Linked DNA regions of Cricetulus griseus. The protein of the gene in region 1 interacts with the protein of each later gene in a pairwise test. Links are inferred from orthologs where the notes say so. Each region holds a gene or a part of one and is shown on either strand. Other genes may lie near its edges.

Region 1 (3,500 bases):
CTCCCTCTTGGTGTCCAAAACAATAAAATGATATACTGAGTTTAATTGGAGTTGATTTACTGGACCATGGCAACTTAACAGTGACTACATTACTGAAGAAAAAGACTCTCCCTCTCCAACAGCCATTAGTTCCTCAGGAAGGTGGTTGAACCCTCATAAACCCCTCCCCCATACATAATGGAATATTGAAGGACGCAATCTTGTGTAGGTTACCACAGCTACAATATGTTCTTATATACAATGGCCATGTCATATACAGAGGACAGTATTTCACAACATTCTTCCTCATTTTCTAGCTCTTACACTCATTCTTACCCCTCTTCCAAGATGTTGCCTGAGCCTTGGAGGGAGTGATATAGAGTCTCATTTAGGAGTACACACTAATAGTCACTTTTTTCTGTATTTTAACCAGTTATGAGTCTCTACACTAACTGCTACCTACTGAAACAAAGCTTCTCTGAAGGCTGAGAGCAGTAGTCTCTAGATATAAATCTACATAGTTATAAGGCAATTTGACTGCATGTTCATTTAGCAAAACATCAAAATAGTGGCTTCCCCCTAGGGCCTGTGACTTCCATAACCATGGGCTTTTGACCAGGTTTCCAGTAACTAGGCATGCATTTCCTCCTGTGGAGTCAGCCTCAAATTCAATCGAAAAGCAGTTGGTTGCCCTCAACTATTACACCAGTGGGTGCATCTTGTCTGAATGGTCACTTTTGCTGCATGCAGGGTCCACAGCTGGCAAAGACCATTGATGTTGTCTTTTCTCCCTAAACAGTCTGCATAACACCTTCCAGTACTATGAATGGTAGCCAGCAGGGAGGATTCCTCTGACTCATTTCCAGCTAGATTTTTCTGTGTTCTCTAACCTAAGTGTGTGCTGTGTTTAGTAACAGGGTCTTTATCATCTAATTCTGGTAGGTAACCAAAAGCAATGGCAATAGCCAGTATTGTTTTAGGAGAGTCTGGGGGGCACTCTGAAAAAAAATGGCCATTTCAAGTGGAACAATCTAAATATTTTTGAATGTGCTGTGGTTAATAATATAAGATTACATATATTCATTTATTGTTTAATATTTAATCAATGACTGTATCCTCCTAGATGGCTGTGCGTTAAGGCTACTGGATATAATTGTTTAATATAAACAATAAATCATGGATATTTGAAGAAATTTTGTATAGACTGTTAGGATTTTCTTAGGTCCAGCACATTTTCCCCAATTTTTAATTTGAATTAGAAACAAGATTATTTTACATTTGAATCCCAGTTCCCTCTCCCTCCCCTCCTCCCCTGCCACTCCCCCAATTAAAACCCTATCTATCAAATATCTTTTCTGCTCCCCAGGGAGGGTGAGGCTTTCCATAGGGGGTTTTCAGAGTCTGTCATATCCTTTGGGATAGGGGCTAGGCCCATCCCCATGTGTCTAGGCTGAGGGAGTATTCCTCTATATGGAATGGGCTCCCAAAGTCCACTCCTATGCTAGGGATAAGTACTGATCCACTACAAGGGGCCCCATAGATTTCTGAGGCCTCCTCACTGACACCCACGTTCATGGGGTCTGAATCAGTCCCATGCTGGTTTCCCATCTATCAGTCTGGGGACCAAGAGCTCTCCCATGTTCAGGTCAGCTTTTTCTGTGGGTTTCGCTAGCCTTGTCTTGACCCCTTACCTCATCTCTCCTCATTCTCTGCAACTGGATTCCAGTTCAGTTCAGTGTTTAGCTGTGGGTGTCTGCTTCTACTTCCATCAGCTGCTGGATGAAGGCTATAGGATGGCAAATAAGTTAGTCATCAATCTCATTATCAGGGGAGGGCATTTAAGGTACCCTCTCCCCTGTTGCTTAAATGGTTAGTTGGTGTCATCCTTATAGATCTCCAGACATTTCCCTAGTGCCCGATTTCTCTTTAAACCTATAATGGCTCCCTCTATTATGGTATCTCTTATCTTGCTCTCCTCTGTTCCTCCCCCAACTCAACCTTCCTGCTTCCCCGTGTCCTCCTCACCCCTCCTCTTCTACCCTTCTCATTCTCCTAATTCCCTCTACCCTCGCCCATGCTCCCAATTTTCTCAGGAGATTTTTGTCCCTTTCCCCTTCTCTGGGGCACCATGTATCTCTTTCTTAGAGTCCTCCTTGTTTCCTAGCTTCTCTGGCAGTGTGGATTATAGGGGTCCAGCACATTTTTTTAACTAATAAATGCACCACACATAAAGACTCTTGGATTACTATTTTTCCAGCTGACAGTGGAATGAAAATACGTTCATTTTAAGTTTCAAATAATTAATGTATTTAACATAGCAATATCTAACATTTATTGTGTATGTATTATAGAGATGGGTACTGTGATGATCCTGCACTGCTTTATGAGTAAAGTGATATTATCATCCAAGATTACACAGCCAGCAAGTGATAGAGTTGGGCTTAGAATCACTGGAGTCTAAAACTCTGTCCATTGTTTAACTTATGCACATCTTTTTACCTCAAGTATATACTGAAGTTATGATTACCATTAGTGAAACCAGACCCATTCACATACAAAACATATTATGTCACTCTAAGTGATGATTATTCGACATCAGAGGACCAAATATTAGAAAGAGTACCTTTTAATACAAGGTTTATTTTTCCAGATTCATTATTATATAGAAACTTAGTAATAGAGTGATAACACATTTACTTTTCCTTAAAAATTAGCAAACCGAATAAGAAAAATAATCATTTGTTCTGTTTCACTGAAATTAGTCTTATAGACCACATATTCTGATTGAGTTTGGGAAAGACAGAGAATTAGTATGCACTTTATCATGACTTAACTCCCATAAGAAAGTTGACATACATGGCACCTCAGGATTGGGTGCTCCCCACTCTAGAAACAAATTAAGCACAGAGCATCAGTAGGAAAATGGAAAAATCAGATATATATGATAATAACATCCAAGGGGGTAATAGAAAATCCAAGGCTAGTTCTGGATGTCCATCAGTAATGCATGAGGAAAATTAGAAATTTGTGACAAACCCCAGAAGTTTGTGGACAAATGTAACCTAAGGGATTTCTCAGAGCTATTCAAAGCAGAATAGAGAAACTTCAGAGATTAACCAAAACTCCATGCCTACATGTTTAGAATAGTAATAATTCTTTGATTAAAGTCACTGAAAAGTAGAAGGAAAGATGGACTCAGACTTTAGATATATTGAATTTAAGGTAAAGATGGACCATCTATCAAAAGCCAGCTGGTTGGTTTCTTAAGTTGGATACAGCTGACTGGCATCAACCTTTGACACATCTACTTATTAATTTTACAGATGGCCCTCCTGAATTTCTTCTTTCCTGATGAAAAGGCATATTCTGAAGAGGAAAGTAGGCGTGTTCGTCGCAATAAAAGAAGCAAAAGTGGTGAAGGAGCAGATGGTAAGTCTACTCAAGTGATCCTTTATCACTCTGACTTATGAAATGGTAATAAAAAATACTCTTTATAGTTCATGCATGGTCCAAATCTCACT
Region 2 (4,113 bases), on another chromosome or scaffold:
ATGGAGTTGTTGAATCAATGAGGCAGAAGTATGTTCATCTACATGAACAAGGGTGTGTGTGTGTGTGTGTGTGTGTGTGCGCGTGTGTGTGCGCGCGCGCTATGCCATTACATTAAGATGGGTTAGAAGATGTCCTGGGCCTGTTTCTATGAAAAATGTATGTGAAAAATGCACGCGGGGATGGGGTGACTTGCTTTTGTCTGTTCACAGAGTGTATTATTAACTGCCTTGTTCTTCTTTTCAAAAGGAGGAGTTGCTGTTGGAGAACTGGGAGCCGGAGCTGACCAACTGGAGCCCCAGGCCCCAGCCTAGCCAGAGTGGGAGAGTGGGGAAGCGGCTGCCACACACCTTCTGGTACCTACTGCTGCTGGGAGAGGTGGCTGGCTGGGAGGCAAGCCCCGTTTGTCTAGGGAGGGGACAATAAGCTGGAGCTCTGATGTCCCAGTGCTGGTGGCATCGGTGGTAGTCGGGTCCAGCCAGAGTAAGAACTTCGTGATCAGTCCCAGCCACTGAGGCAAAGGCAACAGAGGCCAGAGCCAGCCTGCTCCCCTCCACCCCTGTTACCTTGTGGGGACAGGAGAACATGCAGGGAAAGGGTTGAGAGTTGGCCTGCGGTGGTCCTGCCTGGGAGGTTGCACGCACCAGAGCCTCTCAAGGGTCTCCTGGTGCCGGCGGTGCCTCCTTAAATAGCAGCATACCTGCTCTCATCTGTCTCCCTGCTCTGATCAGCAGGTAGATGGGAACACGAGTTCTGCATGTGAGGATACATTGCTAAGGCCCCTAGTTCTGGAAACCTCACCCGAGGGAGGACAGCACCCCCTACCACCCTTGATGTGGGAAGGAGCTGGAGGGACAGACTGGGGGCTCCCTGGCTGGCCTGTGGTCTGGCACAGCAGGGGCAGAACACAGCTACATAGAACAGGGGATATCCATGCTGGCTCTTAGGATCAGGGGTTGAGGCTTACAGATGGGTGAAGGAGCAAGGCTTCCACTTCCCACTGGGGAAGGTCTTTCGCATCCATCTGGAGAAGGCAGTGGCAAGCCCTGCACCCTCAGGGGATATACACATTCTGATGTAGCCATCAGCCTCACCCCAGAAAACCCAGGGCCTCAGGAAACAGGGATTATAACCCAGGGATTGGGTCCATGCATCACCAGAGCTTTTTAAACTTGTGCCCTGTCTTGCACACAGAACCCAGGTCAGGTTTGTGGAAAGGCCTGGTTTTCTGCTGAGGTGTTCCTGGGATTTGGGGACTCTGCCCCAGGATGGTGGGAGGGGTCTAAGGTGGGAGAACGAGTGTGCCCAGCTTAGACACTGGGGCGGAGGAGGTGGCAGCTGCCACGAGGCAGGCTGGACCTTTTGAGGGTTGTGGGTGGTTCCCTAGAGCTTTGTCTCTCCTGCAGCTGAGCTCTCAGCATGGAGCACAGTGCTGCCTCCAGCCCTGCTACACTGCCGTACTACGTGGCCTTGTCCCAGCTGCTGGGCCTCACAGTGGTGGCTGTGACTGGTGCGTGGCTGGGTCTGTACCGAGGTGGCATCGCCTGGGAAAGCTCCCTGCAGTTTAATGTGCACCCGCTCTGCATGGTCATAGGCATGATCTTCCTGCAAGGGGATGGTGAGTCCCGTGGACGGTCCCGTGGGCGGTCCCGTGGGGAGTCCTTTGGGTGGTCCAGGGAGCCTGTGGTTGGAGGGTGATAGCTGGCCTCAGCAGGTGGCATCAGGGGCACACGTGCATGTGTGCATTGTTGAAGGGGACATGGCTGAGCTAGAATGCCTGGCCCTGGGATAAGAGCCAGCAGGTGCTTGTCCTGAACGCAGCCTACAAGGAGCTGGATGGCGGGGTCGGTGGGGGGTGGGACAGGACAGGACAGCCACCTCCCAGCAGCAGGTCCTAGTGGTCCTGCCCTCCCCCTCATAGCAGTGAGGATTGGACAGGATCTCATTAAGCCTTGAAGCTGGGAGTCTGCCTGCTAAGAGCACTGATTGTCTATCTAGGAAGGCTCCAGAACTGCACTCTCTGCTAATAGGTACACTGAGTCTGGCCAGCACTGCAGTTTGACTGTGGGACAAACCCTGAACACCCGAGTCAATGCATTATAGGACACCTGGCAAGGCCAAGTGTCTCCCTGCCTAGCAGTTGCTCTGAGTGGGTACTCAGGGCAGGGTGCTGTCTTTGTTGCCTCTGATGGTGGCAGGAAAATGTGGCACAGCCTCCTCTCCGGGTCCTTGAGTGTGCATGGGGTAGAAAGACTCAGGGACACCCTTGACCAAAAGCAGGATGGGTGCAAGGTCCCTATGCAGTTCTGTTTTCTCCACCAGTTCTATGACTAGCGAACCTTGACAAGCTCTTAGCACAGACCTTTGTCCAGCCAGCCAGGCATCCTTGTGTGTCCAGCACAGGCCTACCCACTTAAAGCTTTATCTTTCATCCCACAAGCTCTGCTGGTGTACCGTGTCTTCAGAAAAGAGGCCAAACGCACGACCAAGGTCCTGCACGGGCTGCTTCATGTTGTTGCCTTCATCATCGCCTTGGTGGGTGAGTTCCTGGGCACAGCCTTTGTCTCCATCTGCTGCTTCAGGATATACAGTCCCTACTTCAGGCTTCTTGGCCCTCCCCCACGCTCCTCCTTACAAGCATCCCAGGCAGGGACACTGGATGCTGGCCATCATCAGGCTGGACCAAAGCCCAGAAGTTCTGGCTAGCAGTTTCCCCCGGGGTCTCCTCTCCTCTCCCTTCTCCATGTCCAGCCCTGTCCTCATATGGCCCCTGCCTCTGCTGCAGGCTTGGTGGCTGTGTTCGACTATCACAAGAAGAAGGGCTATGCTGACCTGTACAGCTTGCACAGCTGGTGTGGAATCTTAGTCTTTGTTCTTTACTTTGTGCAGGTGAGTCTTAGCTCCAGCAAGGGATGGGGAAGGAGGAAGAGGCGGGTAGTGGGGCTCAGGTATGCCATAAAAGGGGCCCATTTTCCAGGGTGCACGTTCAGAGGAGAGAGCGTAGGTTAATTTAGTTGGATGCTGTTTTCAGAGACTGAACTGGGTATCAGCCTAGGATTCTAGAGGCCAGGGTGCCCCAGACCCCTTTGCCTTTTCCACTGACTCTGTCCAAGTGTTGAGTCACGTGCCTTGGCTTCCTGAGTCCACAGGGTGGTGAAACTGTGGTTGGAGGTCCAAAGCCTCGACGCAATGCTTCAAGCACTGGGGACCAGGCCACTTTCCCTATAAATACCCCATGCTCCACTGCTGGAATTTGAGGGGATGCAGGAGTGCTTTGGTGGCCTCCTGTTAGTTAGGTCACAGCCAGCTCATGGCTCAGGAGAGTCCTCTCTCCTTTTAGTGGCTCGTGGGTTTCAGCTTCTTCTTGTTCCCTGGAGCTTCGTTCTCTCTGCGGAGCCGTTACCGCCCCCAGCACATCTTTTCTGGTGCCACCATCTTCCTCCTTTCTGTGGGCACAGCCCTCCTGGGCCTGAAGGAGGCACTACTGTTCAAGCTTGGGTGAGTGGCCCGAAGAGGCAGTCCCCAAGTGCCCTTTGCCTCACTGGAAGCCTCTCTCTGAGCTGGCTTTTCTCATGGGGAAGGTGGAAGGGCTGGAGTCTTTAAGGCCTGGGCTGCATCTGTCCTAACTGGGACCCTTGGTGGCTTCTCCCTTCACCCTACCCTACAGGACCAAGTACAGCACGTTTGAACCTGAGGGGGTCCTGGCCAACGTCCTGGGCCTGCTGCTGATCTGTTTTGGGGTGGTTGTACTCTACATCTTGGCTCAAGCTGACTGGAAGCGGCCTTCCCAGGCTGAAGAGCAAGCCCTCTCCATGGATTTCAAGACACTGACAGAGGGAGACAGTCCCAGTCCCCAGTGACAGCCTTGGGTGGTCCTCCTGGTTCTGTGGGTTCCTGGATGTCTTTCTGCTCCTCCCTGCAGAGCCTGAGTCTTTAGGTCCAGGAGTGCGGGGCAGCGGTGTTACTTTAGTGGGGTTCTAGGTTTTGGGGTTGTCCTCTGCTTTCCCTTCCTCGCTCGCAGTTTTTGATGCATTCTGTGGCCCATGTGTAGGCCCTGCCTGTACCCTGCTATCCATTCACATGCAGAAAACTTGGTCAGGGGACCTGGGGTCAAG
Region 3 (4,125 bases), on another chromosome or scaffold:
GTCCTGAGTTCAATTCCCAGCAACCACATGGTGGCTCACAAGCATCTGTAATGAGATCTGGTGCCCTCTTCTAGCGTGCAGGCATACAGAACACGGTATACATAATAAATAATCTTTAAAAAAAATTAAAAACCCTAGAATCAGTCAAAGAACAGCCTCAAGGATGGGTTTGGTAAGTTCCTCAACACGAATGAAAGCCTACTAGCAAGCCAAACTTTTCCTTTCCTTTTGAAAAATTCACTTTTTTTAACGTTTCATACACGTATGTATCCATAACTGTGGATACAAGGACTAGCATGAAACACCAGAGGAAAGAAAACCAAACTCACAAGGATCATACCTTATCCACAGGAAAATCCAAAGGAAGAGGCTGATTTAGAGAAAGACAGGCGATGTGTGAGATATATACATGTCTGTCTGCGTGTTTAATGGTTCAGCAGGGAACAAAACCAAATGAAACTAGCAGAGTCAATTCCAGATGACAAGTATGTTTAGGTTTTAAGAGTGGAAGTCTGGTCTGTAATGTAGAAGATGTAATAAGCACAGAGGTCTGATTATGGCTTTAGTCTGACAAGTCTTCAATCTGAATCCTCACGGGGATTATCACAGAAGAGGGGGACTATCCCTGTATGAACTGGACTTTTGAGCCATGTGTAACAGGAGGCACCTCTCTCTCCTAGTTGTCAGAAATGAATGAGATAATTCCTGCAAGGCACTTTCCCAGGGTCTGGCGCTAGTAAGCGCTCTTTAAAGGCAAGCAAGACTGGTAATTCATGTCCGTACTTTCCGCACTAAGGCAAAGGCAGGAGGATAGGAGTTCAAGGCCAGCCTGTGATACAGGAGCCCTCGCCTCCAAAAAAAAAAAAAAAAAGCACTCCCTAAGTGAGAACCGTGTGTGTGTGTTTTGTAATAATCCATCTTGTGTCTGAAGCCTGGCGCAGCTACCCGAAATCTCTTGGAAGATGAAGGCATGTCTGCTGAATGAATCAATAACTGGAATCAGCCAAAAATAAAAGAAGGCGGGAACTAAGGACGTCCGCGGGAAGAACCCGCGGCGTGGGCAAGGCACGCCCGAGGCGGGGCAGGGCGCGGGGACGATATGGCGAGGTTCGGGGAGGGGGGTGTCTCCCATGCGACCCCGAAATGTTCTGCAGTGCCTACAGGGAGCGTGCTGGAGGAAGCGTGAGTGCGGCGTGGGTCGACAGAGGGCACAGGGACCACGGAAAGGGAAGGGAGAGCGGCCGGCCCGCTCAAGAAGTGTCCTCAGCGCCGCGAGCGGGGACGGTTTGGACCTAACCGCCTCCGCTGCGAGTGTCCGCCCACCCAGCCTGGCCTCTTCTCCACCACTGCCGCCGAATCCCGTTCCCAACTCCCTCCCCGCTCCCACCCGGCGCCTCACAGCCTCCCCCGCCGCCGCGCCCTCCTCCGCACCTCACACACGGCCCACCGGCGGCAGCCGCCATCTTCGCGCGCGCGTCCCAGCCCCGCCCCCATACACCGGGCCCACGTGACCGAGCCCCTGCGATAGGGGCGGGACTTTCCGTCACGTGATGGTGGGGCGGGCCCAGAATGGGGCTGTCAAGATGGCGCTGCCCAGGGCTGAGAGCCGTCCGCGGTAGAGGCGGTGGAGCCCGTGAGAGGTGAAGAGTGCAAAACATCCGCTACACCGTAGGTCGCAAGCGGTGGAGGGTGACGGGGCGCAGGCTCCCAGGCCTCAGAGTGGCCCGAGTGGAGCACACTTTTGGAAGTTGGAGAAGGTTGCTGGCTGGGTGAAGCTGTTGCCCTCTGCTTGGCTGGTTGAGGCCAAAGCATCCCTTGTCACCAAGCTTCCCCAGGAACCCAAGGCCTAGAGACATGACCCGACAGTGCCCTCCCCCAGTCGCGGAGTCTGGGTTCCCGCTGAGTGGCTCGGTGCTGGCGGAGGCTGCAGTGGTGTTCGCAGTGGTGTTGAGCATCCACGCTGCGGTGTGGGACCGATACTCGTGGTGCGCTGTGGCCCTCGCAGTGCAGGCGTTCTACGTTCAGTACAAGTGGGACCGGCTGCTCCAGCAAGGCAATGCCGTTTTCCAGTTCCGAATGTCCGCGAACAGTGGCTTACTGCCAGCCTCCATGGTCATGCCTTTGCTTGGGCTGGTCATGAAGGAACGCTGCCAGACTGCGGGTAACCCGTACTTCGAGCGCTTTGGCGTTGTGGTTGCAGCCACCGGCATGGCAGTGGCTCTCTTCTCCTCGGTGTTGGCATTGGGCATCACTCGCCCGGTGCCCACCAATACTTGCGCCATCTCGGGTTTGGCCGGAGGCATTATCATTTATATTATGAAGCACTCCCTCAGTGTGGGCGAGGTGATCGAGGTCCTGGAAGTCCTGCTGGTATTTGTTTATCTCAACATGATCCTGCTGTACCTGCTGCCCCGATGCTTCACTCCTGGGGAGGCACTGCTGGTATTAGGTGGCATTAGCTTCGTCCTCAACCAGCTCATCAAGCGCTCTCTGACTGAAAGCCAAGGGGACCCAGTGGACTTCTTCCTGTTGGTGGTGGTGGTAGGGATGGTGCTCATGGGTGTCTTCTTCAGCACCCTCTTTGTCTTCATGGACTCGGGCACATGGGCCTCTTCCATCTTCTTCCACCTCATGACCTGTGTGCTAGGCCTTGGTGTGGTTCTGCCCTGGCTGCACTGGCTCATTCGTAGGAACCCCCTGCTCTGGCTTCTTCAGTTCCTCTTCTACACAGAAACTCGAATTTACCTCCTAGCCTATTGGTCTTTGCTGGCCACCATGGCCTGCCTGGTGGTGCTGTACCAGAATGCCAAGCGGTCATCTTCTGAGTCCAAGAAACACAAGGCTCCTGCCATTACGAGAAAGTATTTCCACTTCATTGTGGTAGCCACTTACATCCCAGGTATCATCTTTGACCGGCCACTACTATATGTGGCTGCCACGGTATGCCTGGCCGTCTTCATCTTCCTGGAATATGTGCGCTATTTCCGAATCAAGCCCTTGGGTCACACTCTTCGGAGCCTTCTGTCTCTCTTCCTGGATGAACGAGACAGTGGACCCCTTATCCTAACACACATCTACCTGCTTCTGGGCATGTCTCTTCCCATTTGGCTGATTCCCAGGCCCTGTACACAGAAGGACAGCCTGGGAGGAGCAAGAGCTCTGGTCCCCTATGCTGGGGTCCTGGCGGTGGGTGTGGGTGATACTGTTGCCTCCATATTTGGCAGCACCATGGGGGAGATCCGCTGGCCTGGAACTAAGAAAACATTCGAGGGGACTATGACATCTATATTTGCACAGATCATCTCTGTAGCTCTGATCTTAATCTTTGACAGTGGAGTAGACCTGAACTACAGTTATGCTTGGATTTTGGGATCTATCAGCACTGTGTCGCTCCTGGAAGCATACACTACTCAAATAGACAATCTCCTTTTGCCTCTCTACCTACTGATATTGCTGATGGCCTAGTAGTAGTAGTAGTAGTAGCAGTTGTGATGGTGGAAACAGAAATAGGGAGAAAGAATAAATGGTTCCCACAGCAGCTACTTGGACACCAAGAACTGAGGAGTGAAAAGTAGATTTGGTTTTTTTCAATTGATTCAGACTTAAAATAAACAAGTAAAGCTCTCTTGGTTTTATTTTTTACTGATAATAAGAATACAAAAAGGCTTAAAGGCATACACCAATTCAGGGAAGTTGTATATGCTGCAGAGCCCCTATCTTGTAGCCTGGGTAGGGCATGGTTAGAGTGGACCTTGTAGGCAGCAGAACAGAAAGCCTAATGCTTAGGTGTCTGGTGACAAACAAATCTGATCAAAATCCTTGGCTTTACAGCTTAACCGTATGGCAGCCTTGGGTGAGTCTACGCCTCAATTCTTCTATCTGTATGATGGGAAGAATGACGGCCTGACGCTCACTGGATCCTAGAAGGCTTTATTAAGAAGTATGTGGCCGGGCGTTGGTGGCCGCACTCCTTTAATCCCAGCACTCGGGAGGCAGAGGCAGGCGGATCTTTGTGAGTTCAAGGCCAGCCTGGTCTCCAGAGCGAGTGCCAGGATAGGCTCCAAAGCTACACAGAGAAACCTTGTCTCAAAAAACCAAAAAAAAAAAAAGAAGAAGAAGAAGAAG
Region 4 (3,959 bases), on another chromosome or scaffold:
CCAACCTCTAGTGTCCATTAAGAGAAGGCTGCAGACCAAACCAAAGGATTACCCTTTCCTATTTCCTAAATATTCCTAGGATCAAGGTTTCCTCTGCCTTCTTAATTAGTTTCAAGGCTGAGACTGGCATAGCAGCCCTAAGGCAGATCTAAAGGGGACACTGTATTTCACTGGCCTAGAAGGCTCCAAAGAAGGGAAAACCCAATCGCTAGATCTGGGAGCCAAAGGGCATTTTAACGAAGGGCAATACACAGTGGGGAAGTGACTAGATGAAAGAAGTGTGGGCTTTCGGAGGGAAACTAATAAAGGCTATTTTTGTAACATTTCTGCAGACTCCAATCGGTGCTGCTTATAGAGACAGCTGCCTCTTCTCAGAAGTGAAAATATTTACAAATGGGAAAAATTGTGTTGCAAATATCTTTTTATGTCACACGGGGAAGTTCCTGTTACCTTTACAAGGAGAATCTTATGCTCTTATTTTGTACAGAAAAGAGCGCGGACAATTCATCCATGTTTTGTTTTTGGTTTGTTTTTTATATTTTGGAGTGGAGATTCTTCTTACTAGCGATTATCTTCGTTGCAATTTTATTCTTTTTTTTTTTTTTTTTTTTTTTGAGTACTCTCCCTTTTTAGTCCACAAACAACCCGACAGCAGAAACTACACCTGCTTTTGCTCATCCCAAAGCCTACTCCGGTTCCCCAGCATATATGTGGGAAACTTGCAAATATATAGCGGATTTCTGCGGGGCCCCATCCCTTTTGTCACCAAGGAGAGAGCGATCCTCACAGACTCCCAAGAAGATAATGCAACTCTACTATCCATGACTCGGCCCGCTGCACCCAAATAGGGAGGGGGGAAGGTCTCATCAGAGCCCCGATCTGTGTAGGAACCCAAGGAGAGATGCAGAGACCACCCATCTCCCGAGTCACAGACTGGCTGGTGGAGGGAGGAAGGCGCTCGCGGTGCAGAACCTGAAGTGCTCCGGCAAAGACATCGGCCGCGTCTTCACGAGCTCCCCACGCGCCCTTCCCAAGACCGCGGGGACTTCGGGCGGGAGCCATCCTCCCGGGTCGGATGGGAACCACAGACCAGCCCAGGACGTCGCAGCCGGCACCCGCAGCTCCGGAGGAAGGCGGGCCCCGGACCGGCCCCGCGCGCCCCCCACGCCCCCGCGCGAGCGCGAGCCGCCGGCGGAAGTGCTGCGTCGTGCACTTCCGGGTGTTGTCTGGCCGCCGTCGCGCGTCTTGGGTCTCCCGGCCACCGCCCGGGTCGTGGAGGCAGGAGCGACGTCACCGCCATGGCGGGCATCAAAGGTGGGCCTGGGGCGCGGGCCGCGGGGACGGGGACCGCGGGGATAAGGAGGGACGGCGTGGGGTCGACCCAGCCTCGGCTCCTCAAGCCGTCGCGCTCCGCCCCTGGACCAGAGCCGGGCAGCCGGGCCACTGAAGCGTTGTGAGCGAGTTTGCACCCAGAGACATTGAGGGCTGCCATCCGGAGGGATGCCCGTCCCCGCACATCAGTCAGTGTAGTTTCCCACCCGAGGCACGAGCGCAGTCCTCTCCCAAGCCTGGGCTCTGCATCCACTCTCGGGATCCCGGTGCACCATCTTTCCCTTGCCTCTAAATCGGATGCATCGGATTTTCGGGGTTTGTACAGTGCAGCAAAGCCCGGATGCTAACCCAAAGTGCTCCCGCTTCCTTTCCACCCACAGTTGCAGGTTGACACTTTTTTAAGTTGTGATTTTTTTTTTTTTTTTTAAGATAAGGTAACTAACACCTTGATAAAAGATTGCTTGTTTGTTGCATTCTTTGGAGAGACGGAATGTTGCTCGGTAGTTTTGCCCCTGGGGTAAGAAGGAAAGTTTTCGGTTTACTTATCAGCGGATCACTTTGGTTTCTTGACCTGCTTTGTAGAAGAGACAGCCAAGCAGGAAGTAAACAGTTGGATAGTTATGCCTCCCACCTCGCTGGAAAGGGCGACTTTGGTTGAGCTTTTTTCCAGGGTCACATTCTTTTCCGGCGTCTTGTTTATTCTCGGTGCCTGAAAAACGTTTCGTTTCCCATATAGAACCCTGTCATCTGAGTTACTAGGATACTTTCAGATCTCTTTTTGAACAATAATAGACCCTTTCAAATCCTAATGTGAACGGAAGTTACTGTGAAATGCTGCAGTTTTTAGGATGTTGCCTGTGCCTCTTCCTCATTTCTTCAATGTCATTAATGGGGGAGTCTTAACAAGAAAATAGATTTATGATTCTTCAAATGTGGGTAATGTTAATCTAGTGACAATGACTCCAACGGAATTTTACTTACTTCTTAAAGATTTCAGTGGGTTTTAAAGTTATGATTGTTCATCGAGATATTTCTTCCTGTTGATTTATATATTGCCTTTATATCAAGAAGTGTAGCTGTAGAAACCATTACATATTTCTTAATCGGATTGCCTGTTACTTTGTGGTAAATTATACTTTCTGCTAACTCCCAGACTGAGAAACTTGACCCCGTCACCTATGTCTTTGCAGTCACAGAGCCATCATCATCTTGTCTCTATAGAGAATTTTTGCTAGGTAATTGGGCTGTTCCATCCCTGGCCTGGAGGCTTTGGGAGTAGAAACCACACTCCTGTTTCATCTTTCAAATGTTGCATCACTCAATTACTGTGTGAATTCTTACCGTACTGGTGCGTCACTTAAGACGCCATTTATATAAAATAAGCCACCTAGTTGCCAATGTCATAAGTCTGAGGAAACATGACTGGTTTGGGGAGCACTCTTATCATCTTTTATCTGTAATGACTTAAGAGATGAGGTGTCGAGGACTGGAGAAATGGCTCAGAGGTTAAGAGCACTGGCAGCTCTTCCAGGGGTCCTGAGTTCAATTCCCAGCAACCACATGGTGGCTCACAGCCATCTATATAGTGAGATCTGGTTCCCTCTTCTGGCATGTAGGCATACATATAGACAGAACATTATATACATAATAAATAAATCTTTTTAAAAAAAGAGAGATGAGGTGTCACATGCAGTTGCCTTTGAGCATCTTCTAAATATTGAGTATATTTGAATGCATAGAAATATGACCCTAGGGTATCTCGATTCCCCCAAACAGTTCCATGGGGCTTGATTTTTCATATGTGAGTGTTCAAAAGGAATTGGATCTTGTATAAATAAATGTATCAGTAATTTTATGGGCTGGAGAGATGGCTCAGTGGTTAAGAGTGCTTACTGCTCTAACAGAAGAGCCAGTTCAGATCCCAGCACCCCCCACACACACACATACCCAATAGCTCACAAAAACCTGTAACTCCAGCTCAGTAGGCACCTCACTGACACACATATAAATACACACACCCATACTAAAATATTTTTAAATTATTTATTTTAATTTAGTTTAAAATATTTTCAATTAATTTTTATAGTATCCGTAGTAGAAGCTTGTGTTTTAAATGTGTTTCAGTGCTGGAACCTTATTTTTGGGTTTCTTGATTTTTTTTTTTAAATCTTTAAAGTTAACATTTGTTATTTGAAGGTTTTTGTTGTCGTTTTGGTTTTGTTTTGTTTTGTTTTGAGACATTATGTAGTCCAGGCTGACCTGGAACCCACAGTCAACACCTCAGCCTTCTTACTAGGGTCACGGGCATGTGCCACCACACTTGTTACACATGCAGGGGATCCAGGTTGGGTTCCCAGCGTCCTCATGACTGCTAATAACTGTAACTTCAACTGCAGGCATCCAACACTCTCTTCTGGTCTCTTCCTGCACCAAACACACACACACACACACACACACACACACACACATGTATACTTGAACTTTTGTTTGTTTATTTTGCTTTGGTTTTTCAAGACAGGGTTTCTCTGTGTAGCCCTGGCTGTCTTGGAACTAGCTGTATAGATGAGACTGGCCTTGAACTCAAAGATCTACCTGCCTCTGCCTCCAAGTGCTGAAATTAAAGGTGT
Region 5 (2,111 bases), on another chromosome or scaffold:
CTCTCCCCTCTCCCCTCCAGAGTCGCAGTCAACTGAGGACCTCTAGTGCTGTCTAGTGTGTACTTCTCCAGAGCTTTAAAAAAGAGCTGAGTAGGTAAGCAGGGGTATATTTGCTAAGTGTTTTTCAATTTTTCTTAATACTTCCCTAACACTCTCTCCCTTCAATCTCTTTCTGAAGCCTCAATATAAGGTTAAAAACACTTTCATGGTGGCACACAGCTTGAGAACAGATTTGGATATAAATTGACCCTGTGTGGCTCTTTATCATAGCATACACATGAAGGACAGAAACACACACCAAATGAAAATCCAATTCACTACTACAATTCAATAGAGCCATGCTGAAGATCTGAGAACTATGCCATCTTTATAAAATAAACACCAAGTTCTAGCTGGTTCTGCTTGATGCAAATCTCCCCCTTTCTCAGTCTCCTTTCTCCTCTCCTCAGCACTTGTCTCAGATGTGGGGACAGCAGACTGAGGTGAGTTCCCAAGAATGCAGAGCCAAGGGAGCAAATCCAACTGCCAGCGAGAGTCTATAATAATATCCTGCTGACAGTGATGCATCAACAAATTAGACACAGTGGTCTCTAGACAGTAAATCATTGCATTTTGTTTCTGTTTATTCTTCCTGTTTTAAAACTGACACAAAAATGTTCTGACAAAAAACAAAACATTAGCCCAGCATAGTAGTATAGGACAGTAATCCCTTTACTTAGTATGCAAAGGCAGAAAGGTGGCGGCCTCCAGTTTGAGGCCAGACTGATTACTGCCTTCGGACAGTACACTTAGTTTATTAATAAGCTTTATTGTTTATTAATTATCAACTCTTTAGACCCTACATATTCAGCAATGGTTTAGGAACTTTGAAAGAAGGCCAGACACAAACCAGGTAAGCAAGATTAGCTGAAAATCGGAACTGTCCATGGTAGTTTTGTACAATAATTATTACAGTGCCTTCCAAGCTTAGCAGTCTTTAGTATTCATTATCATGTACAGTATTTAAAATAGTAGGGGGCATCAAAGGTATAAATCATAAAGAAGAAGGCAAACAGCTAGAATTTGTTTTTTTTATTTCATGTTTAACCAAGCTTTTAATTTACTATATGCATCTCTTTGTCCTGAAACACTTATGTTTACATCAGAGAGATAGCATTCCATAAACCAAGTAATACCTGCCAAAAACCACAGTTCCTACAGCTCAAACAGGACAAATGGGACTGTGAAGTAACATACGAGATATAGAAGCAGAGACCATGGAGCCCAGGGACAGTTGATGTCATAAAACACAGAGACCCAGAGAATGGGTATGGGTATAGGTATTAACCTGGTCCATTTACTGTTTTTACATTCCAGGCCTCCTAACAGAAGACAGCTGCTTACACTTGCCTGCTTACAAGCAGCTCTTTCTTTCTCTTGACCACTCAAAACTTCAGGCTTCCTGATTGCATCATGGAAAAAGTCCAATACCTCACTCGCTCTGCTATCAGGAGAGCCTCAACTATTGAAATGCCTCAGCAAGCACGCCAAAATCTCCAGAATCTATTTATCAATTTCTGTCTCATCTTGATATGTCTCCTGCTGATCTGTATCATCGTAATGCTTCTATGAAGTGCTGCCACCACCTCCAGGATCTGTAACATGCCAGTTCAACTTCAAACCAGCACTCCCTCAAGAGGAGAAACAATACAGCCTACTCCCTGTCTAGAATGTCTTTCTAAAGGTCAAGATTAAGAGGGAAGCAAATTGTTAGCCAATGTATTCACCTACTGGATCTTGTAAACAAACTTTACAATGACTAAGTGTGCATAATGTAGCTGCCAATTTCCTCAAAATGGCCCATAAATATCTTTCCTAATTATTTCTGACCATGAAGTATGAATTTTAATTTTGAAAAAGCACTACAAAAATGTTCACTTTCTACACCCTACTGCTAAGAAGTTCACCATTTTTTTTTTTACAGGAACTAAGTATTTCTCAAGTCTCCACAAAACTGATCATCTAAATGAAGTGTTCTTATTCAAAATAGCTCACTGGGTCCTCACGTGTATGGCTACTATTATTATTACCACATTAGTTATGCTGTCAGAATAAATACCTTGAAATAAAGA
Region 6 (4,018 bases), on another chromosome or scaffold:
ATTACTAGAGCCTCTGAACCAGAGTTCCCCTGACTCCACTTGAAACCCCAATGCCTGCTGTAAGTTGCACAAAACTGCCAAGCACTGCTCCAGAGCTATGTTACCCAGTACTCTACCCCTCTTTTACAGATGAGGAAGCATGGACAGGTCGTCAATAATTTGCCTGGGGCCACACAGCCAGCAAGTGGCTCCAGTCTAGCCAGCTCTCACCCCCAGCTCTGGCCCCATCAGATGGCCACACATCCCATCACCCAGGTCCCCAGCCCTTACTTCATCAGAACCAGAACTCGGTCCCCTGATAAGGAATGCAGATATACTCAGTCATCACACACAGCCTGAAATCAGTGTCCTGAGAATAAACAATGACAGCTCACATTACCTTGCTGTGAGAATTCTAATGGGCTGCCACAACACTTCCAGTAAAATCCAGGTTCCTCCGTGAATGTTGAAGGGAATTCTCTGATGTCCCTGGTCACCACACCCTAGGCTCCCTGTGCTCCAGCCACACTGGCCCTTCTGTATGCTCTCCAAACAACAGGAGCTTGTTCTCAGGGCCTGAGAATTTTTCTTTTCTCCCCAATGTCCAAATGACTGCTTTCCTTGAATTTCAGGTCATATATGTCCTCCAAGAGGCCTTCCAGGGTTATACTGTTTTACTTAGCCCCCCACCCATCCACCCACCCAGTCATTATTTCCATCACTCTATTTTCTTTACTGGCTGTATATTGTAACCACTATACAGATTAGCAAACTGAGGCCCAGGGAAGTGAAATAACCTACTCAAAGTCACAAAACTGGAAAATGGTGGCACTGGCATTCTTAAAGTCTACATCCTGCTCCTTTCCATGGATCCATACTTTTTGTCCCACCTCAGAGTCAGCCCAAAGTTTGATCTATGCCACAAGAGTCTAGCCTTCTGCAGACTCCTGTGTCATCCACTCTGCCCCAAACCCCGTCAAAGACAGCAGACATGCGGTCCAAGGAGGTAATGTGCCCCACCTGAAGGCCCCAAAGACTTCTCATCTGAGCCCTGAAAAGAGGTCCCAGAACATGTCCACTGTACCACTGGTGGGCAGAGAATAAGGAACCAAGTTCTTGTGCCCTCCCCTGCCTGCAGAGCTCAGCTGGGCGAGGCCAAAGTGGATATAAAGGGGTTGGTATATATTGAGAGCTAAGAGAAGCAGAAACCACCAGAGGAGAAAGACGGAGGGAGGGAGAGAGAGAGAAGGGTGGTAGTAAGGGTTGGGAGGAAGGCGGTGAGGGAGGCGGGGGCCTCAGAGTGGAAGGAGGGAGCAGAAGGGCGGGGCAAGAGGCCCAAACGAGGACAGACTCCAACTCTGACTTCTTCAGCGACTCTCGGTAAGTTTTCAATCCGTTATTCAGACGGGACTTTATATACTTATATACTGGGCATCACAGCACTGTGGGAGGGGCGCCCTAGGCAGGAAGAAACCCTCCACCCTGCTCCCGAGGACACTAGTAATTGAAGAAGGGGGTCTCTCAGCCTTTATAGTGGGGACACAGGAAGGAGTAGGGCCATCTATAGGATGTGTGGTCCCAAGAGAGCACACCATAGGAAACATCTTGTAGCTTCTCCATGGGGTCTTCCATTCTCTCTTGAGATTAAGGGGTGCAGGAGGGCTCCCAGGCTGAGTTCTCTGGACACTGAGGGTGGTAGGAAGTGTTCTCACCACTCAGACATCCGCCTTCTAATCCATCTCCCCAAGTATCCAGAGCCTTAGGTCTGCAGTAGGGTGGGGTGAGGGCCACAGAGACTCAGCCGGGGGCTGGAGTTTCCCTGGTGCTGAAGGGAGGGGGATGAGTCACCCATGACTCACCCCAGGAGAAGAGAGTGAGTCAAGGATGTGTGTCCTCTGGGCAGCTCCTGCTCTTGATGGATTAGAAAGGGGTGTCAATTTAAACTTTCATATGGTGACCCATATAGCCTGGGGAGAAAGCACTGAAGATGCACCAACATATAGTCAGTCCTGTTCATCCATCTCCTAAAGTCCACGTAGGGCTTTCTCTAGGCCGCTCCAGGAGCACAGGAGCCCAGGAGCCCTGGGCTCACCCTCCTACTCCCTGGGGAGGACTGCTCAGCCTACTCTCCTTCTCTCTCACACCCAAGAGCCTTCCCAAGCCCTCCTCCCTCAGACTTAAAAAGCCAGACCCTAGCCCTCCTGCCCAGATTGAGTGCTTCTACCCTTTGCAGGTCTGTCTCTCCTGCTCTGAGCCAGGCATCTGGCAGCCATGTCACTCCTCCTGTTAGTGGTCTCTGCCCTTCACATCCTCATCCTCATCTTGCTTTTTGTGGCCACTTTGGACAAGGTAAGCTTCCAACTCACTGTGAAACCTAGCTACAGCCCATTTCTTAAGCCTCTACCTCCCTACTTCTAAAGCAACGCTTCTCTCTAGCCTTGCCCACCCTTTTAGCCCCTCGGTGCACATCTAGGTGCCTCATCCCCACTCTCCCTGACATTGTCCTTCTCTCCTCACTCTCCCTGATCTCTGTCCCTCCCAGTCCTGGTGGACTCTCCCCGAGAAGGAGTCCCTAAACCTGTGGTATGACTGCACATGGAACACCACTGCCAAAACGTGGGCCTGCAGTAACGTCAGTGAGAATGGTGAGCATATAGCTGAGGGCAACAGAAGGGCCCCAAATAGGCCGGGACCAGGGTTGGGACCGGAGCCTAGGCTGTGAGCATCTGGGGCTGGCAGAGGCAGCCTGTCTGGATGGAAAGGCCACTGCCTCTGTTCCAATGGATCCAGAAAGGGTGGAGGTCACATGCTGCAGGTTTAAGGAATGGGGAGAAAGCTCCCTAAATTCTGAGACGATAGGCTTTCCAGAGTTGTAAGGAAATAGAGCTAGTGTTGAGAATATGGAGCCATTCATTGAAGCTGAGGAGAGAAGGAAAGGGCCAGAGTTCTAAGTGACAGCAAGTGAGGGTGGGGATGTAGCTATCAGTGTTTGCATGGTATGTGACCCTAGTTACAGATGCACCCATGAAGCTTGCCTGGCTGAACCAGCAAGTGGAGACGGGGTTGTGGGCTGTAACCTCACCTGTCTTCCCCTACAGGCTGGCTGAAGGCAGTGCAGGTGCTCATGGTGCTCTCTCTCATCCTCTGCTGCCTGTCCTTCATCCTCTTCATGTTCCAGCTCTACACCATGCGGAGAGGAGGGCTCTTCTACGCCACCGGCCTCTGCCAGCTTTGCACCAGTAAGCACTTCCCCAAGATCAAGGGAATGGGGTATACCATGCAAGGCCCTCCCCCAAGGACAGCCTCTGAACCCCAGAGCTAGTGGAGTTGCAGTTCTCAGAGGCTCTGGTAGTCTTGGTACTTTAGTGAGCTAGTGTTTCAGAAGTAGGTTTTGGTAAACAATTTGAGTTCCAGAGATTCAGGCAGCTAAGAAATACCATAAAAGGAATATTCTGAATCATATCATCCAACTGCTGTTTCTTGTCCACCTGTTCAGGGAGTTTACTTTTTCTCATCACTCGGTATTGTGGATGTAACACAGGGCCTCTGGCATGCTGGACAAGCTATCTCTGAGGTACATGCCCAGCTCTATACTGGTGGATTATGGGCATATGGTCTCAGCCCTCTTTTTAATTTGGAAAAAGGGTCTCACTAAGTCATCTCCACTGGCCTTGAGCTCCCTATGCTCTTGCCTCCACCTCCTGAGTAGCTGAGAGTGTAGGCATGGGCTACCAAGTCATGTTCCACTTTTTTTTAAGATCAAATAATCTGAGGCTTGAAGGGTTTGGGGGATGAAGAGGTCAATGAACACAGGGCTCTATTTTTTCTTTAGTTTTTCTTTGGCTCTCAGTGCAAAGGGCTGAGTTAATCATGGTGGTTTTGGAAACATCTTCCTGGGTTCCCAGAGAAACCCCCTCATGTTACTCACTCATGTTTGCATGTTTGGCTCATGAAAAACTAAAAAAAGAGCCAGGCAGTGGTGGCAAACACCTTTAATCCCAGCACTTGGGAGGCAGAGAGAGGCAGATCTCTGTGACTT
Region 7 (3,926 bases), on another chromosome or scaffold:
CTTCCCATAAGCAGTTGCTCTGATCAGCTGATGGCCATGGAGTCTTGCTTTAGAAAAATACCTCGAGAAATGTATTTCTTGTAGGAAGCGGAAAGGAAAAAGAGCTGTGTGTAGGAGAATGGGAGGGACCACACACATACACCGGGTCGCGGCGTGGGGGGTGGGGGGAGACCCAGCACTGAAGCGGCACCTCGGGATGAAGCTGGGGTGGGGAGGGTTCAAGTTCAGAATCTGAGCTGGAGACTGAGAAAGGCCAATATATAAAGAGGAGGCAAATATTAGTGTGATACAAATAGCAGTTAAGGAGGTACAATACTTGTTTAAAAATAAAGGCAAAAATAAAACGTAAAATTGTGGTATGAGAGGAGGAAATCCCTACAAAGAACTAAGCAGTCAAAAGGGTCATAGGACAAAGAATGGGGAGGACTGCCCCAACCCTGGAATTGCAGGTGTCTCCCCTGGCAATGCCTGTCTCCCATGGATGCAATGCAACTTATCCCATCACCACCACCTGCAGGCAGGCCCCCAGGCTCCTCCCCCTAAGACCTACCTCCTTCCCTCCTGTCAAGCAGCTCCCCCGCCAAGTCTCATAGCTGCCCCTATAACCCATCCTGCAGCTGAGATCAAAACTGGGAACGTGTCCTCCAAAAGCCGGTTTTCACACATTAACGTCCCCAGGGAAGACTGGAGATCCAACAAGGGTTAAAGGGATGGGGTGCCTAAGGATGGAGGTTTCGGATACGTTACTGATGGATAGTGAACACCTTCCTGGAGTGTTTCACAGCGAAGTGTTGCCCCAAAAACTCTCCACCGCTCCCCTCAGGCAGATGGCACCCAAAGGTGCCACAGGTGAGTCCAGATACCCACTCCCCCAGCCCTGCAGATCCTCAAGAGCACTCCGTTGGGTTTCAGGGCGGTGCCCCAGACGGTTCAGCCTTGTCTCTGGGGCAGTGGACCCGGGCGGGGCAGGTGGCCGGAGCTCCGCCCTCCTCTGGAGCAGGCTCTTCAGTTCTTAACCCGCGCGCGAGCGCCCTGCGGCCACTGGGCTCTGCGGAGCGAGCGAGCGGTCAGCGCAGAGCCGGAGGTGCGCGTGTCCCGTCCCAAGGCCGACGCCAAGCTCGCAGGCATGGCCCCGGCAGCGGCTTCGGGTGGCAGCACCCTGCCCAGTGGCTTCTCGGTCTTCGTCACCTTTCCTGACTTGCTCTTCATCTTTGAGTTTGTGAGTGGTTGCGCGCCCTGCGCTGGGAAAGGGACAGGGTGGGTTATGCTGCTCGCTTCCTTGAGGGCTCTTCACCGCTGTCCCCGACCTTACCAGCAGTACGTAGGGGACCAAATCCGGAAAGTCTCCTCATCTCTCGGTAGTTGGTTCCTTTCTAAAATAGCGGATCCATCTCCTAGGCAGGTGCAAAGAAACTTCTTGTAGCTTCTTGTAGCTCTGCTCCTATGGAGCCCAGCTTCCTTACAAGGGTCCCCGCTTTTCCCACTCACATTCCCTCTAAGTAGACAAAGCCAGCCAAAGACCCCTTTATGTGACCGACGGAGACTTGGGACCAAAAGAAGGCAGGCTCTTTTGGCCTTTTGAAGTTTTTTGAAAAGAGTTTGTCTCTGTGGCAAACTTGACCGGGGAGAGAAAAAAATAGTGGTTGGCGTTTGCTCGTTTGCTCGGCTGCAGTCCTTGTGCCTGTGTGAGGGGAGGGAGGAGAGAGGTGAATTCTGTCGCCTCCCTTGGCTGACCTTGAGCTGACTCTGCACCTGGGCTGGGTTCTCTTAGTCTTACACTCTAGAACCGCCCCAGTAGCTTGGAGAAAATTTCCTATTGTGGGCTCCTGGTAAAGTGTTGTGAGATTTCAAGACCTCATTTGGTTTCAAATCCCCAGGGACCTTCAGCGCTTGCTTGGGCAGGAGGGTGTTTGTTTATTCTGTGGTGTGGAAACAACATCTCCTGTGCTCCCACCACACAGAATCCTTTGTGTAGAACATAGGCTTGGAAAAGAAAATGTAGAGGGTGATTTTGACAATGGGATCCTGGCTTCTAACAGCATGGATAGGAAGGGAAGATGTGGACACCAAAGACAGTAGGCTCACTCATACAGGGATGCCACTGAAATTGAGATGAGGGTTGTGTTGAACCCAAACCTGGGTGTTTTTGAAGTGACTTCACACCCCGGGCATAACCAAGGCCAAGGCTATGGAAGTAGAAACTCTGCACATTACCAAGCCAAATTTCACAACTTACAAATCAGAGCACCTAGGCCCAAAGCTGGGTCAGGCTTGCCCAAGGTCATCCAGGTCTTTAGCAAGCCTTCCAACCTCCTTGGGTTCCTTTTGTATTCAGGGTTGCTGAGCAAGTCTTGGAACAATGCCAACTGAATGTAATTGACACAGGCACTTGGTCATATGGGAGAGCACCCCCTGTGTGCTCTGGGGGCACTAGTCTTTATAATCTCTTAGCCTATGTTTGCCCAGTGTTGGGACCTGGGAATAATTAATGGGTGATTCCTCAGGATTTTAAAAAGTAGACCCTACAGAGGTCTGACCAAAAGAGATCATGTCTCAGCCTGAGGGGTGATGGGGCAAGGGGGTTTTTAAACAAAAATATGTTAGTCTAGAGTAACTTCTGTTGACTGAAGAAGAGCATACAAAGAATCATTAGAGAAGATGGTAGTTGGGCTTTATGGGTCTTTGCAAAGATTCTGGCTGTAGCCTCAACACACACACACACACACACACACACACACACACACACACACACACGGGGCTGGGTGGGGAGACTCTGGTGGTGGTGGAGGGTCTGCAACCTCCAAGAGCACACCCCCTCTTTTTAACTACTCAGTATGACAGAAAGACTGGTTCTGAGAATAGGAACAGACCAGCCAGGCAAGACAACCAAACCTACAGAAGACTTGTGGGTGTGGAAAATCTCAGCACTACTTGTTTAGTGAAAATGCACCCTCACTAGTGTGCCCTCCATTCCTCCATGTGGTAGTGGGGATTTCTAGTGCTCTCTCTTGACCAGAACTCATCCTGTTCACTGTTTTAGAAAGTGTGTCTCTTCTATCTCAACCATTGTACTATGTCTGCCCACCCTCCCCCACCTGTCACCTTCTCTAGAAAACTTTGGAGTCTTGCTTGCCATCCTTTAATCTTTCTTCCTCTCTAGGTTAGGGCTGGGTTTACAGGATGCCTTTGGAGAGAAGGAAGAAAACAGACACAGTCCCTCCAGTGTTTCCCAGCATAGGCTGTATGTGAAGCAATGTGTATCTTGCCAGAAAGCTGGAAAATTAAAAGACTGGGAGAGGCACTGACCACGCCACGGGTGTTTTCTTAAACTGTAGAATATTATAAGTCAACACCCAAAGCATGATTATAAAATGGGCAATGGCTCAGACAGACATTTCTCCAAGGCAGAAACACAATTGGGTAATGAACTCATAAGACGATGCTCAGCTGAGTTAGTCACCAAGGAAAGGAAATCAGAACCACATAGAGGTGTCACCTCCCACCCATTAGATTGACTGTTAGTTTAAAAACAGGTCCAGCGGCAAAGACTACAATAAAACTTTGAAATAACGCCCCCTCCCTCCATGGAACATAATAATCCAGAATATGGAAAACCTGTGGCTCTGCATATTGCTGTTAGGAATGTTTTACATACGTTTAGATAATGTGGAGAGTAGTTTGGTGGCTCCTTCAACAGCTACCTTATGGCCCAGCAATTTCACACCCAGGAATACGACCATAGAATCATAGCAGCGACTCAAATAGAGTGTGTACACACAGGCCCAGAGCAGTGCTCTTCAAGGTAACCAACAGGTGAAAACAGCAGAAATATCCACCTGACAGGTGGACCTGGCAAACACAATGTCCTCTTTCCCTACAATGGAATACTGTCTGGACATAGGAAGTACTGATGAACGCTGTCCAAG

Evidence for each region.
Region 2: the proteins of Eda (region 1) and cytochrome b561 interact in binary tests that used the Homo sapiens proteins (3 or more experiments, as listed by UniProt). The two-hybrid records come from large-scale screens. The link is inferred for Cricetulus griseus from reciprocal best matches to the Homo sapiens genes EDA and CYB561.
Region 3: the proteins of Eda (region 1) and Dolk interact in binary tests that used the Homo sapiens proteins (3 or more experiments, as listed by UniProt). The two-hybrid records come from large-scale screens. The link is inferred for Cricetulus griseus from reciprocal best matches to the Homo sapiens genes EDA and DOLK.
Region 4: the proteins of Eda (region 1) and Leprotl1 interact in binary tests that used the Homo sapiens proteins (3 or more experiments, as listed by UniProt). The two-hybrid records come from large-scale screens. The link is inferred for Cricetulus griseus from reciprocal best matches to the Homo sapiens genes EDA and LEPROTL1.
Region 5: the proteins of Eda (region 1) and Pln interact in binary tests that used the Homo sapiens proteins (3 or more experiments, as listed by UniProt). The link is inferred for Cricetulus griseus from reciprocal best matches to the Homo sapiens genes EDA and PLN.
Region 6: the proteins of Eda (region 1) and Emp3 interact in binary tests that used the Homo sapiens proteins (3 or more experiments, as listed by UniProt). The two-hybrid records come from large-scale screens. The link is inferred for Cricetulus griseus from reciprocal best matches to the Homo sapiens genes EDA and EMP3.
Region 7: the proteins of Eda (region 1) and Mal interact in binary tests that used the Homo sapiens proteins (3 or more experiments, as listed by UniProt). The two-hybrid records come from large-scale screens. The link is inferred for Cricetulus griseus from reciprocal best matches to the Homo sapiens genes EDA and MAL.

Annotation. Positions count from the first base shown.
Region 1 is NC_048604.1:70,051,379-70,054,878, reverse strand, and holds part of Eda (ectodysplasin-A), read left to right. Parts: intron 1-3,302; coding exon 3,303-3,408; intron 3,409-3,500. UniProt on the Homo sapiens protein: Cytokine which is involved in epithelial-mesenchymal signaling during morphogenesis of ectodermal organs. Functions as a ligand activating the DEATH-domain containing receptors EDAR and EDA2R. May also play a role in cell adhesion.
Region 2 is NC_048600.1:118,875,489-118,879,601, reverse strand, and holds the start of cytochrome b561, read left to right. Parts: upstream 1-1,313; 5' UTR 1,314-1,417; coding exon 1,418-1,616; intron 1,617-2,438; coding exon 2,439-2,537; intron 2,538-2,783; coding exon 2,784-2,887; intron 2,888-3,338; coding exon 3,339-3,496; intron 3,497-3,665; coding exon 3,666-3,858; 3' UTR 3,859-4,113. UniProt on the Homo sapiens protein: Transmembrane reductase that uses ascorbate as an electron donor in the cytoplasm and transfers electrons across membranes to reduce monodehydro-L-ascorbate radical in the lumen of secretory vesicles.
Region 3 is NC_048599.1:141,943,835-141,947,959, reverse strand, and holds Dolk (dolichol kinase), read left to right. Parts: upstream 1-1,470; 5' UTR 1,471-1,854; coding exon 1,855-3,465; 3' UTR 3,466-3,625; downstream 3,626-4,125. Other genes in the region: nucleoporin NUP188 homolog, read right to left, coding at 1,432-1,463. UniProt on the Homo sapiens protein: Catalyzes CTP-mediated phosphorylation of dolichol, the terminal step in de novo dolichyl monophosphate (Dol-P) biosynthesis. Dol-P is a lipid carrier essential for the synthesis of N-linked and O-linked oligosaccharides and for GPI anchors.
Region 4 is NW_023276807.1:50,693,303-50,697,261, forward strand, and holds the start of Leprotl1 (leptin receptor overlapping transcript-like 1), read left to right. Parts: upstream 1-1,159; 5' UTR 1,160-1,298; coding exon 1,299-1,314; intron 1,315-3,959. UniProt on the Homo sapiens protein: Negatively regulates growth hormone (GH) receptor cell surface expression in liver. May play a role in liver resistance to GH during periods of reduced nutrient availability.
Region 5 is NC_048595.1:255,659,778-255,661,888, reverse strand, and holds Pln (cardiac phospholamban), read left to right. Parts: upstream 1-1,452; coding exon 1,453-1,611; downstream 1,612-2,111. UniProt on the Homo sapiens protein: Reversibly inhibits the activity of ATP2A2/SERCA2 in cardiac sarcoplasmic reticulum by decreasing the apparent affinity of the ATPase for Ca(2+).
Region 6 is NC_048599.1:154,810,750-154,814,767, reverse strand, and holds the start of Emp3 (epithelial membrane protein 3), read left to right. Parts: upstream 1-1,218; 5' UTR 1,219-1,359; intron 1,360-2,212; 5' UTR 2,213-2,250; coding exon 2,251-2,328; intron 2,329-2,521; coding exon 2,522-2,624; intron 2,625-3,077; coding exon 3,078-3,218; intron 3,219-4,018. UniProt on the Homo sapiens protein: Probably involved in cell proliferation and cell-cell interactions.
Region 7 is NC_048599.1:50,923,391-50,927,316, forward strand, and holds the start of Mal (myelin and lymphocyte protein), read left to right. Parts: upstream 1-1,126; coding exon 1,127-1,219; intron 1,220-3,926. UniProt on the Homo sapiens protein: May be involved in vesicular trafficking from the Golgi apparatus to the cell membrane. Plays a role in the maintenance of the myelin sheath, and in axon-glia and glia-glia interactions.